3 linked regions of the Pelodiscus sinensis genome follow. The protein of the gene in region 1 purifies or fractionates together with the protein of each later gene. This does not show direct contact. Links are inferred from orthologs where the notes say so. Each region holds a gene or a part of one and is shown in the gene's direction. Other genes may lie near its edges. The genes, in order: HDAC6, CCT5 and PKM.

Region 1 (3,742 bases):
GGGAGGGCTGGGAGCCCGCCAGGAGTCCCATCCATGTATCGGCCCATCTCTGGCTCTGCTCCCTGCTTCCCACGCCCCCCTGCGCAGCGATCAAAAGGGGAAGGGGGCGTTATCTGCCCCATCAGCTCATGGCCTGGTGGGGGTTAGCCCTTGCCTCCGCCGAGGAGCTGGGAACTGGATTTCAAAGGGATGTGGGGAAGGGGCGGGGCGGGCACTGGAGATGGGCCCAGTACTGGGAGCTACACAGGCTCGGCGCAGAGCTGGGGGCCCCTCCAGCCGGGACACACGCTGGTGCGGGGGTCGGGCTCGCTATCCCAGCCCCATGGCTACTTCAGGGCAGGCCCAGCGCCCACTGCTGGTGCCAAGCCCTCCCTGCCTCACCCCTCCCCCACTACGTTCTATGCGGCTGTTCCCCAGCTGCCCTGCCCCAGAGGTGGCTGCATCTCAGCACCTAGGGAGCCCTCCCTGCGGCTCCCTTCACTAGGGGAAGGCCGAGGGGGCCCAGCTCCCCTGGGGGGGGCAAGGGGCCAAGGCCCAAGGAGCCGAGAGGTTGGGGGGGGGAATCCAAGGAAAAATAGAGGCCGGGGTGAAGGGTCACGGGAACAAGCTGGGGAGGGGTCAAGAGAATTAAGGGTCACAGGGTCAAGGGAGTAAATCCCCCCCCCCCCGACCTAGGCCAGTGAAGAAACAGGGAGATTTTTCTTCCAGCAAGTCAATGGTCTCTCCCAGCTCCCCTCCCCCCCGCTCAGTGCCAATGGCCACTCCCAGGATCCCCACCCCCTCCATTCATCGTGATTGGTTTCGCCCAGATCTCCCCCAAGGTCAGGGTGAATGGTCATGACCAGCCCCCTCCTCCGTCAATGGTCTCTGCCATCTTCCCCCCCCCCGCCCTACTCCGAATGGAATCTCCCGGCGGGGCGGGGCGGGGCGGGACGGGGCTGGGTGACACCATCAGGCTGCGCGCGGCAGGGAGAGACCATCTGCAGGGGCGCGGCAGGTGAGAGCAGCCCGCTCGCGCACGTGGCTGGGCACCCGGGGCGGGCAGCTGGTGCCGCGGGCACGGGCCGGGGGGGGGGGCAGCGCTCTGGGACCTGCTCCCCCAAGCCCCGCCCACAGCCTGCTGCTCCGGCCCCGCCCGCTGCCCCCCCTGCCCCGCCCCCCAGCACCCTCGGCCCCGCCCCCCAGCACTGCCCCCCAGCACCCCCCACCCTGCCCCCATGCCCCGCCCCCCAGCACCCCCCACCCTGCCCCCTCGGCCCCGCCCCCCAGCACCGCCCACCCTGCCCCCATGCCCCGCCCCCCAGCACCTCCACCCTGCCCCCTCGGCCCCGCCCCCCAGCGCCCTTCACCCCCAGCACTGCCCCCCAGCGCCCCCACCCTGCCCCCTCGGCCCCGCCCCCCAGCGCCCTTCACCCCCAGCACTGCCCCCCAGCGCCCCCCACCCTGCCCCCATGCCCCGGCCCCCAGCGCCCTTCACCCCCCAGCACTGCCCCCCAGCACCCTCCGCCCCCCAGCACTGCCCCCCACCCTGCCCCCTCACCCCGCCCCCCAGTGCCCTTCACCCTCCAGCACTGCCCACCCCCCAGCACTGCCCCCCAGTGCCCCCCACCCTGCCCCCATGCCCCACCCCCCAGCACCTCCACCCTGCCCCCTCAGCCCCGCCCCCAGCGCCCTTCACCCCCCAGCACTGTCCCCCCAGCGCCCCCCACCCTGCCCCCTTTGCCCCGCCCCCCAGCGCCCTTCACCCCCCAGCACTGCCCCCCAGCACCCTCCACCCCCCAGCACTGCCCCCCAGCGCCCCCCACCCTGCCCCCTCACCCCGCCCCCCAGTGCCCTTCACCCTCCAGCACTGCCCACCCCCCCAGCACTGCCCCCCAGTGCCCCCCACCCTGCCCCCATGCCCCACCCCCCAGCACCTCCACCCTGCCCCCTCAGCCCCGCCCCCCGCGCCCTTCACCCCCCAGCACTGTCCCCCCAGCGCCCCCCACCCTGCCCCCTTTGCCCCGCCCCCCAGCGCCCTTCACCCCCCAGCACTGCCCCCAGCGCCCCCCTACCCTGCTGCCCTCAGCCCCGCCCCTTCCCCCATCTGTACACCCCCAGCTCTGTGCCCCTCACCCCCTGCCACCCCTTCGCCTCCCAGCCCTGCACCCCGTGCCCCCCCTAAAATTGCCTTCCCCAGTGCCCCTTGCTCCTGCCCCGCAGCCCCCGCCGGCCCAGGGTGGAGGCCGGGGGGGTCGGGGTTTGGCCCCTCTAACGGCCTTTGCCCCCAGCCCTGCCCCGCCATGGCGACACCCTGGGCGGAGAAGCTTTGGCAGAGGAAGGACCCAGCTCCCCCCTCCCGATCCTGAAGGGACCTGCCCCCCCAGCACACGGCCATGGTGAGTCTGGCCCTGGGGGGGGGCCCTTGGCTCTGGGCGCGAGGCTGCCTGGGCCTGCCAAGGGCTGGGGGGGGCTGGCGAGGTCCAAGCCCCCCCTTCTGCCCCGTGTGCTTCCCCCCCAGAAGCGAGGTGGCCGGAGGGGCCCCCAGCCACGCCGGAGCCCCGGGCTGCCCGAAACCAAGCGCCGCGGCCGAGCGCAGCGGGCGAGCAGAGAGACGGAGGAGCTGGAGTCGGGGCTGCGGCGCCTGGTAGGTGGGGGGGGGGGCCGTGGGGCTGGGCTTTCCGCTGGCGGCGCCTGCTCCCTGGCCGTGGGGGGAAGGGGAGCGGGTCTGGGGGGGCCGGCGCCTGGCTCCACTGTCGTGTCCCCCCCAGGACCTGGGCGTGGAGGGGACGGTGCCCGTGGGGACGGGCCTGGCCTTTGACGAGCGGCTCACAGAGTCTCACTGCCTGTGGGATGACAGGTACGGGGGGGGGGGGGGGGGAGCCACGACCCCCACCCCAGCGACCCCTCCCGCCAGTCACCACGGCCCCCGAGCCGCCTCCCCCCCAGCGACCGGCCCCCTAGCTTATCTGGGATCTGGGCCCGGGCCCCTCCCGTCCAGCGCCGGGATCCTCGCTCTGGGGGGCACATCGCCTGCCCCCCCGGCCCTGCCGGCGCCCCTCACTCCCTCCCTCCCTCCCCAGCCCCAGCCCCAGCGCCCCTCACTCCCTCCCTCCCTCCCTCCCCAGCCCCAGCGCCCCTCACTCCTGCCGCAGCCCCTGCCCCCTGGCGCCCCCTCCCTCCCTCCCTCCCCAGCCCCTGCCCCCCCCCCCAGCCCCTGCCCCCCGGCACCCACCCCTCACTCCCGCCCCCCAGCCCCTGCCCCCCGGCGCCCACCCCTCACTCCCGCCCCCCAGCCCCTGCCCCCCGGCGCCCCTCCCTCCCTCCCCAGCCCCTGCCCCCCGGCGCCCCTCCCTCCCTCCCCAGCCCCCCAGCCCCGGCCACTTTCTCCCGCTCTGTCGTTTCGCCCCCAGCTTCCCGGAGCGCCCGGAGCGGCTGGTGGCCGTGCAGGAGAAGCTGCTGCAGAGCGGCCTGTGGGAACGCTGCGTCCCAGTCGAGGTGAGAGGAGGGGCTGGGACCCCTGGGTCTGTCCCTTGCCCGGAGGTGTCCCAAGACCAGCTGCCCCTCCCCCCGCTCTGCTGCAGCCCCCCACTTCCCTCCTCTGTCCTCACAGGCCCGGCCGGCTACAGAGGAAGAGATTCTGCTGGTCCACAGGTACGGACGGCAGCCGGGGGGGCGGGCCAGCTGGGGCTGCGGGGCAGCAGGGGGGCAACGGCAGGGCTGGAGGGTACCAGCGAGGCAGGGGCGAGGGGCTCGCTCTCTC
Region 2 (3,742 bases), on another chromosome or scaffold:
AGCCAAGTTAGTCTAACAGAAAAAACAAACGAATAATCTGGTAGTAATTTAAAGACTAACAAAACATGTACATAAAAACAAATGATCTGGCAGCACTTTATAGAGACTAACGAAACATGCAGAAGGTATCATGAGGTTTCGTGGGCACTGTTATCTGAAGAAGTGGGTTGTGCCCACGAAAGCTCAAGATACCAGCTACATATTGTGTTAGTCTTTAAAGTGCTACCAGACTATTTGTTGTTTTTAAAGTTTTTACAATAGCAAAGACAGTGCAAGTGCAAGTGCAGGTGCAGGTTTCCCTCCCTTGTTCCACTTCCGTGCTTCCATCTTGACCAACATCTTCGAGAAGACGAGCACAGCAGCTCACACGCGAAATTCGCGCACACAAGTGGCCGCTCCCCCGCCCTGCAAGTGTGACATGCACCACGCGGGATCCAGCGCCGCTGGGTGGGGCCTGGTGCCAGAGGAGCCATGTGGGCGCGAGACAAGCGCGTGGCCGTTGCGCGAGCAGCGCCCGAGACTGTTAGGACGGCCAGTGTCTAAGCGCCGCACCCGGCTGCCCAGCGCTGCTGACAGTGGTCGGGGCAGGGGGGTGGACAAGGCGACCTGCCCCAGGCCAGCGCCGCCGCCTCACTCACCAGCGCGAGCCTTCAGTAGGCGGGAAATCCCCTTTCGTCCGGAACTCGGCCCGACGCAGGCGCAATGGAGTGGACGATACCACCCGAAACGCGGGGGGCGAGGGGCTGACTTGTGGCAGGCCGTACAGCACTGTAGGGTACCGCGCCCTACATCTCACCGGTAAGTCTCGTTCTGCTCTCGCTGCCGCGCCATGGACACTGCGAATAGGATGTGTGTCGGAGTTCCGTTTAGTGGTCTCTTCCAGTCTAACTTGCGCCCTTCTTTCCGTTAGACGCTTCCAGAAGGGGTCGGCGAGGGCGCCATATTGGTCCCAACTGAGAAATCCTTCCTGCGGTAGCCTACTGCGCGTGCGCGACGCCGACAGGCGGTCACCCGTTACGTTGCGTTACGTTGGGTGTGGGAGCAGCGAGGGGCTAGTGCTCTGTCGGTTGGTGCGAGAGCGGCGCTGAGTGCTTGGCCGCTTGTGGTGGGACCATGTCGGCGATGGGGACTCTCGCGTTCGATGAGTACGGGCGGCCCTTCCTGATCCTCAAGGACCAGGATCGCAAGAGCCGCCTCATGGGGCCGGAGGCCCTCAAGGTAACTGCGCATGCGCCACTGGGGCCCGCCGGCCCCATGTGCTTCCCCCCATCCCGGGCCCGAGCCGCGCCTCCCCCCCCGCCCGCCGGTCGCTAAGCCCCCCCCCCCCGTAAGTTTGGGGCCGCCGGCCCTTCGCGCGTTTCCCTCCCGTAGTCGGGCGGGGCCGGGTCAGGCGGGCGCGGAGCTCCCCCCCCCCACTCCCTGCGCCCCATCATGGCCGCCGCGCCGGGCCCAGCTCCCCGAGCGAAGCCTTTGGTGAAGCCGGGCCAGGCTCTTGCATCGGGAGACCTGCGACGTTCGCTCCTCTGCTGGGGCAGAGACACGCGAAGCCCTTTCGTGTCGGGCCTCCCTTCGTGTCCCTCCTACTGGCTTCCTCTTCCCAGTCTCTTCAAACATCAGCTACTTCAAAGCCACATCTGCTAGCTCGCCTGCTCCTTGAACTGTCCATACTCCCCGCCAGTCAGCCCCATGGAGTCGGATTACATTGCCCACTTATTACCTATTTTAAACAAGCGCCCTTTTACTTTTGGTCATGCTGCCCCATGTTAAACTCTATCAGTTACATGGTTAAACATTTAATCTAGGTACTAGGGATGTGGGGGTATGCTACAGTATCTCTGTGTTTTACATTGGGGGAGTCCCAGCCCTATATACTGTGGATCCCAGTTGCTGGCCCTGCCATTCTGGTGCACCCGGGGTCCTCACAGTGGGCAGAAGCTCGGACCCCAAGCATAGTTGAATCATTAACAGATGTCAATAAGCATGAAGCTTACCAGTTAACTGGTTATACTTTTACATCCCTAGTTATAGCATTGCACTTAATAACTTAGGGTACGTCTAGACTACATGCCTCTGTCGCCAGAGGCATGTAGATTAGGCTACCAGACATAGAAAAATGAAGCGGCGATTTAAATAATCGCCGCTTCATTTAAATTTACATGGCTGCCACGCTGAGCCGACAAACAGCTAATCAGCTGTTTGTCGGCTCAGCGTGATACTCTGGACGCGCGGGTGTCGACATCAAAGGCATTTGTCGACCACACAGGTATGCCTCCTGGGATGAGGTATACCTGGGTGGTCGACAAATGCCTTTGATGTCAACACCCGCGCGTCCAGACTATTGCGCTGAGCCGACAAACAGCTGATCAGCTGTTTGTCAGCTCAGCGCGGCAGCCATGTAAATTTAAATGAAGCGGCGATTATTTAAATCGCCGCTTCATTTTTCTATGTCTGGTAGCCTAATCTACATGCCTCTGGCGACAGAGGCATGTAGTCTAGACGTACCCTAAGTGTAGACCAGAGGTGAGCAAAAGTCTTTCAGTGGGCCGGATTTGGCCCGTCTTGGGCTCTGACCTGGCCTGTGAGGCAATTACAGGCTCTGCCCCCAACAGGCATATGAGGGGGTATCAGGGAGAAAGAGGGCAAGGAGGTCAGGGGCAGTAAAGGAAGGGAGAGGAACCAGGAAGGTTATGGGGTAGGGGTAAGGGAAGGTGCAGGTGCCAGGGGATTGTGGGGTGAAGTTGAAGGGCAAACATGTAGAGAGTAGAGACGGGCACCAGAGAAGAGAGGTAGGGCAGGTGTGTAGTGGAAGGTGTTAGGAGAGGGGATGGGGAGGAGTAGCTACAGATGATCAAAGTGAGGCTAGAGGAGGAGTGGGCACTGGGGGAGAAGAGATGGGTGGGTGCAGAGGAGGGGGTCAGGTTCCAGAAGGACTGAGGGGAGTGGGAAGGGTGGAGCCAGGACAGCAGAGGAGGGTTGAGGGGTGGAGAGAGAGCAAGCATCAGGGGAGCAGATGGGAGGAGGAGAGGGGACATGGCAGCAGAGGGAAAAGGGAGAGGATTATAAGATATTTATTAATAGTGGCCACGCATCTGAACAAGCGCACGTGACCTCAATACTGCTGCACAGGATGAAGTTTGCTCCGCTCATGGGAGGGAAATCTTAGAAGGAACACTTTTCCCAGCTTCTCCCCCCAAGTTAATACAATGCAAATTAAATTAATGCAATTGCAGGATAGTGGCATGGGGGAGTCCTTTGGGAGCCAACCCCATCCCTATTGGTAGGACGGTGGGAGGAGTTCTTAGAGGGGTCACACAACACCCTTTACTTCTGGTCATCTGTCCACCTTGACCCCAGGAGTACTACCTCCAGGGGTGGGACATCTTGTGGCAGGGGCATGGCTAGCATGTCCCTAATTTTGGTTTGGAAAATATGGTCCCCACATCCATGTGGCTCTCCTCTCCGGGAGGGGGAAAGGCTTGCACCGCCCTTGTTCCCCAGGCCAGTCTCTCAGCTCCTATTGTCTGGTTGTTTCTGGCTAGTAGGAGTTGAGGATTGGGCGGGGAGATTACAGGAAACTTCTCCCTCCAGAGCACACAGAGAAGCCCTGCACTGCTGCATCCTGAGGGTCCCGGCAACTGTGAGACTTATCTTGCCCACCCATGACATATCTGTTTGCTGGCTCTTGTTTCATGCTTAGGCTATGTCTACATTGCGCTCTCTTGCACAAGAACATATGCAAATC
Region 3 (3,742 bases), on another chromosome or scaffold:
AGGGTGAGTTTGAAAAACCCTTAATCCTCCCCTGAGCTTGGGGAGTGACTCATGTCAGCTTTTAACTAGGCATATGGGTTTTTATTAGTTTGGGGGGGGGGGGGGGAGAAATCTTTTCTTGCTCTCCAGCATGTCTTCCTGTGACATTCAGAGATCCAGCCCCATGAACATGCAGTGATATGATGAATACCGTTGTCTGCTGTAGCAAGTGGGTGTGCTACATTACTCAGTGAGGTATCTGAATTACTTCCAGCTCTGGGAAAAGACAATGTGACCTTAAAACCAGAACAGATGAGTCAGAAGCTTCTACTGGATGCTCTATCCCTGCAAACTCATCCTCTCAGTCTGCTGGTCAGAGACACACTTTTGCTGATACCAGCCATTATCGGGGTAGCTTCACCCCTTGCAGGACCCTACACACTTAGGACAAGGAAATTGGGGGCCACTCAGCAACATGGGGCCCAATCTCCCCTCTTTAGCCGTTGGAGGATTCTCAAGAGCAGCTCTTGCCTCCGCTTTGGGGCTTTGCTGTACCTGCCTCGGAGGAGAAAATGCGGCTGTGCATTGGGGCCTGGACTGGGTATCAAGCTTGCTTTCTTCTCCCTTTGTCATGGGATGTCTGGATCCATTCTTTAGCGGGCAGCTTTCCAGCTGGGATCTCAATGGTCATTTGGCACTAACAATGAGCCCTCTAGGAGCCCGGAGCCCTCCTTAAAAAGGGGGAAGGGAAAAATTCACAAGCAGCAACAATGGGGACTAGAGCTTTGTAAATGGTTTGCAGGGCCTTGAAAGAGAGGGGGCGGGGCAGGAGAGGCTGCCAGCTGGGATGCAGGGCAGCCAGGCCTCTGAGCAGGCCCATGGGGGATGGGCAAGGGGCGCAGTCCCATTAAGATGCACTGCAGCAGGGGCAACGTTCCCGGTCTATGCTCAGAGGGTCAGTGTGAGGCCAGGATGGGGGGGCTCTGGGGATGCCCTACACCCTGGAGCTCTCTTAGCTGGACCACCCCATGCCAGGAGACGCTGCTGCTGCAGGGGAAGGGAACGCATGAGGCTGGGGCCCATCCAAGAGATACTGCTGCCGCACGGGGTATCGGGGAGGCGGCCCCTTTAAGAGCTGGGGATGGGGGGTAACAGTAATAGGTGCGGTCCCTTTAACTGCGGCCGCCGCTGCCCCTGTCACTCGCAGGCTGCGTGCCCAGCCCCTTGGCGCCTCCCCATTGGCCGGCGCCCCGCGTGCTTGTCAGCTCGCCGCTCCCCGCCGCAGCATGTGCCTCCGCCAGCGAAAGAGTCCGTTGGCTCCGCCTCCCCGCGCGAGCCGGGGGCGGGCGGCGGCGGAGGGATCCGCGGGGCGGTCGGGATCACCTTGAGGCGCGTCGCGGGCGGGGCGGGCCGCAGAGAAGCTGAGACTCTCGGGGCGGACGGACGTGAGGCGGCGCAGCAGGTAACGGGGGAGCCGGCCCGGGCCCGCGGAACCGGGTCGCTGGAAGGGGGGGGCGGAACCCGCTTCCCCCCCCCTCCGCGGGGCGCGCTGAGCGTCCGCGGCCTGCGGGCAGCACGTGAGGCGCCGGGGGGGGGGGAGCGGCTCCCGGGGCCGGCGCGCGCCAGGCGGGACAAAGAGCCGCGCGCCCGGCCTGGAGCCCTGCGGGGGGGCTGCGCGCTCCCCGGCGGCGGGGGCGGGTTGCGCTGCGCAGCGAGCCGGCCCGCAGCGCTCTGCGCCTCCGAGCGGGTGCCGCTGTGCGCGGCTGCGGGGGGGGCGCGCGCTCTGCGGAGCCTGTTGAGCGGGCCACCCGCTCTCGCAGCCCCCGGGCTGGGGCAGACCTCGGGCATCGAGCCCAGCCCCCGGGCCAAAGCAGGACCGACCCGACTCACTCCCCAGCCGGTAACCTGCCGTGACGGAGTCCTGGCCCCGCGTTCCCGTGCACGGACACACGAGTGCCTCGCGGTGGTATCCTGTGAAACGCAGCTGGTCCCCTGTGGCTGAGTGTGACACACAACTGGTCCTCCGCCACTCCCCCGGACCTGTTACCCGTGCACTTGTACAAATGGCAAAAATCCAACCTCCCTGCTGCAGTGTGTCTAATGGGCCAACCTAACTGATAGGAAATGTGGGCAAACGTCATGAGTCATGTTGCTGCAGCAGGGAGACAGGTGTCTGTTGCGATTGTTCACCCCTGTGGAGGGGTAGGAGTGCAGGTAGCACTGCTCTTAACAGCCCTCCTGGTTGGCTGAGAGACCGCAGCTTCAGAGATGTTGGTCTCATCGGCTACAGTAACTGCAGTACAACAGCTGATGTCGTTCCTCTGGTCAAAAAACCGTTCTTGAATTAACTTTAAAAAATAACGAATAGTTTGGTAGCACTGGAAAGGCTAACAAAACATGTAGATGGTATCGTGAGCTTTCATGGGCACAATCCTCTTCTTTTGAAGTTCCTGAATTGTTGGCCCTGGATTTGAACCCTCTGCTTTCCTTCTGTGGGTTTTTTGGGTGGGTGATGTGTAAAAGTAAACTGAACATGCAAGTATCCCAAAAGAGAATTAAATACACCCTCCTAATTGTATTCATTAAACAAGATTCCGTTGTTGGTAAATTTAAAACTCCCTCTATTGATGGATGCTGAACTTTATAATGTACTATGCTCCTGAGGCAGACATATCTGCAATACATTGCCTTATTCCATACTTTTTGCTTTCTTTAAGATTAGGATCTAGCACCTCTGGAAAACAATTCTTGGTGTGGTTCAGATACATGGGTTTTCTTGCACTACCATTTGGGCCACTTCCTCTGCAAGAAAGTGCATACTTCTAAAGTGTAGCTAGCTAGCAATACTCACTACTTAATTACTCTTGCCTTTTAAAGTGTGTGGGGGTGGGGAGGAAAGAGAAGATAGGGCAGTGAAACAAGATAGAGCTGCTAAAAAGGGTTAAATGTAATTTGCTTAATCACTGTTCCTGGCTGCAGCTCCATGCTATAGAAGTTGCAAAAAGAAGATTGGATTCAGAGCTGCAAGGTATTTCAGTTTAGTGTTTCCAGAGGTGCAGTGGGTCAATCCTATTTGGGAGTAGGGCTTGAATTGAATGGAAAGGGAGTGTTCACTACCACTTCCCCTTATGAAGATCAGTGTCCTAAATGCTGACTTAGATGAGTATATAGTTCAATAAACTTGTTAGTGACTAACTTAGTCAGCTCTTCATTGCTCAGGCAAGCAAAGGCCCCATCTGAACTCTCCTGTGTTATGTCTGTGTAAACATGTCCAATTGATTTTGATATTCATCTGTATTTCACGAAAGACTATAAAAACCTTTGGAACATGTTTGAACCCCTCATTTTAAAGTCAGGCTTGCATGAATGGCGCTTTTGTTACTAACCAGTGGGAACTTCAATGCTGTCATCTCAGATTAATAAAAGTAGAGCAGCCTTTTTAAATGGTCATGGCTCTGGCATCCCAGCTCCTTGGGGATGGAGCACAGTAACAGAAAACACTGCTTGTGTCTTATTACCTAAGAATCAAATCTCTGTACAACCTGCTTATGGCTGCAGTGCCACTCAAGCATTTTGTGACTCTTTATTCCTGACATAGTGCTGCAGTTTGTAGGAGCAATCTTATTTGTGTTGCTGAAACCTAGCAGAACTAGAACTTTATTCAACTTCAAGAATCCTAGAATTGTATCTCCTCTACAGCCATATACCAAGGAAGATTGAAATGCAGCTTGCCCCTTGAAATAAAGAGCTTTTATGAACAGAC

What was found.
Region 2: the proteins of HDAC6 (region 1) and CCT5 purify together in Homo sapiens (affinity purification with mass spectrometry, with the first as the bait; 3 studies listed by BioGRID). This does not show direct contact. The link is inferred for Pelodiscus sinensis from reciprocal best matches to the Homo sapiens genes HDAC6 and CCT5.
Region 3: the proteins of HDAC6 (region 1) and PKM purify together in Homo sapiens (affinity purification with mass spectrometry, with the first as the bait; 4 studies listed by BioGRID). This does not show direct contact. The link is inferred for Pelodiscus sinensis from reciprocal best matches to the Homo sapiens genes HDAC6 and PKM.

What each region holds. Positions count from the first base shown.
Region 1 is NW_027466031.1:232,800-236,541, reverse strand, and holds the start of HDAC6 (protein deacetylase HDAC6), read left to right. Parts: upstream 1-843; 5' UTR 844-997; intron 998-2,270; 5' UTR 2,271-2,375; coding exon 2,376-2,378; intron 2,379-2,500; coding exon 2,501-2,626; intron 2,627-2,750; coding exon 2,751-2,839; intron 2,840-3,392; coding exon 3,393-3,477; intron 3,478-3,592; coding exon 3,593-3,633; intron 3,634-3,742.
Region 2 is NC_134712.1:136,033,624-136,037,365, reverse strand, and holds the start of CCT5 (T-complex protein 1 subunit epsilon), read left to right. Parts: upstream 1-1,082; 5' UTR 1,083-1,113; coding exon 1,114-1,218; intron 1,219-3,742. Other genes in the region: ATPSCKMT (ATP synthase subunit C lysine N-methyltransferase), read right to left, coding at 797-831. UniProt on the Homo sapiens protein: Component of the chaperonin-containing T-complex (TRiC), a molecular chaperone complex that assists the folding of actin, tubulin and other proteins upon ATP hydrolysis.
Region 3 is NC_134724.1:37,486,780-37,490,521, reverse strand, and holds the start of PKM (pyruvate kinase PKM), read left to right. Parts: upstream 1-1,287; 5' UTR 1,288-1,441; intron 1,442-1,884; exon of another isoform or gene 1,885-1,933; intron 1,934-3,742. UniProt on the Homo sapiens protein: Catalyzes the final rate-limiting step of glycolysis by mediating the transfer of a phosphoryl group from phosphoenolpyruvate (PEP) to ADP, generating ATP.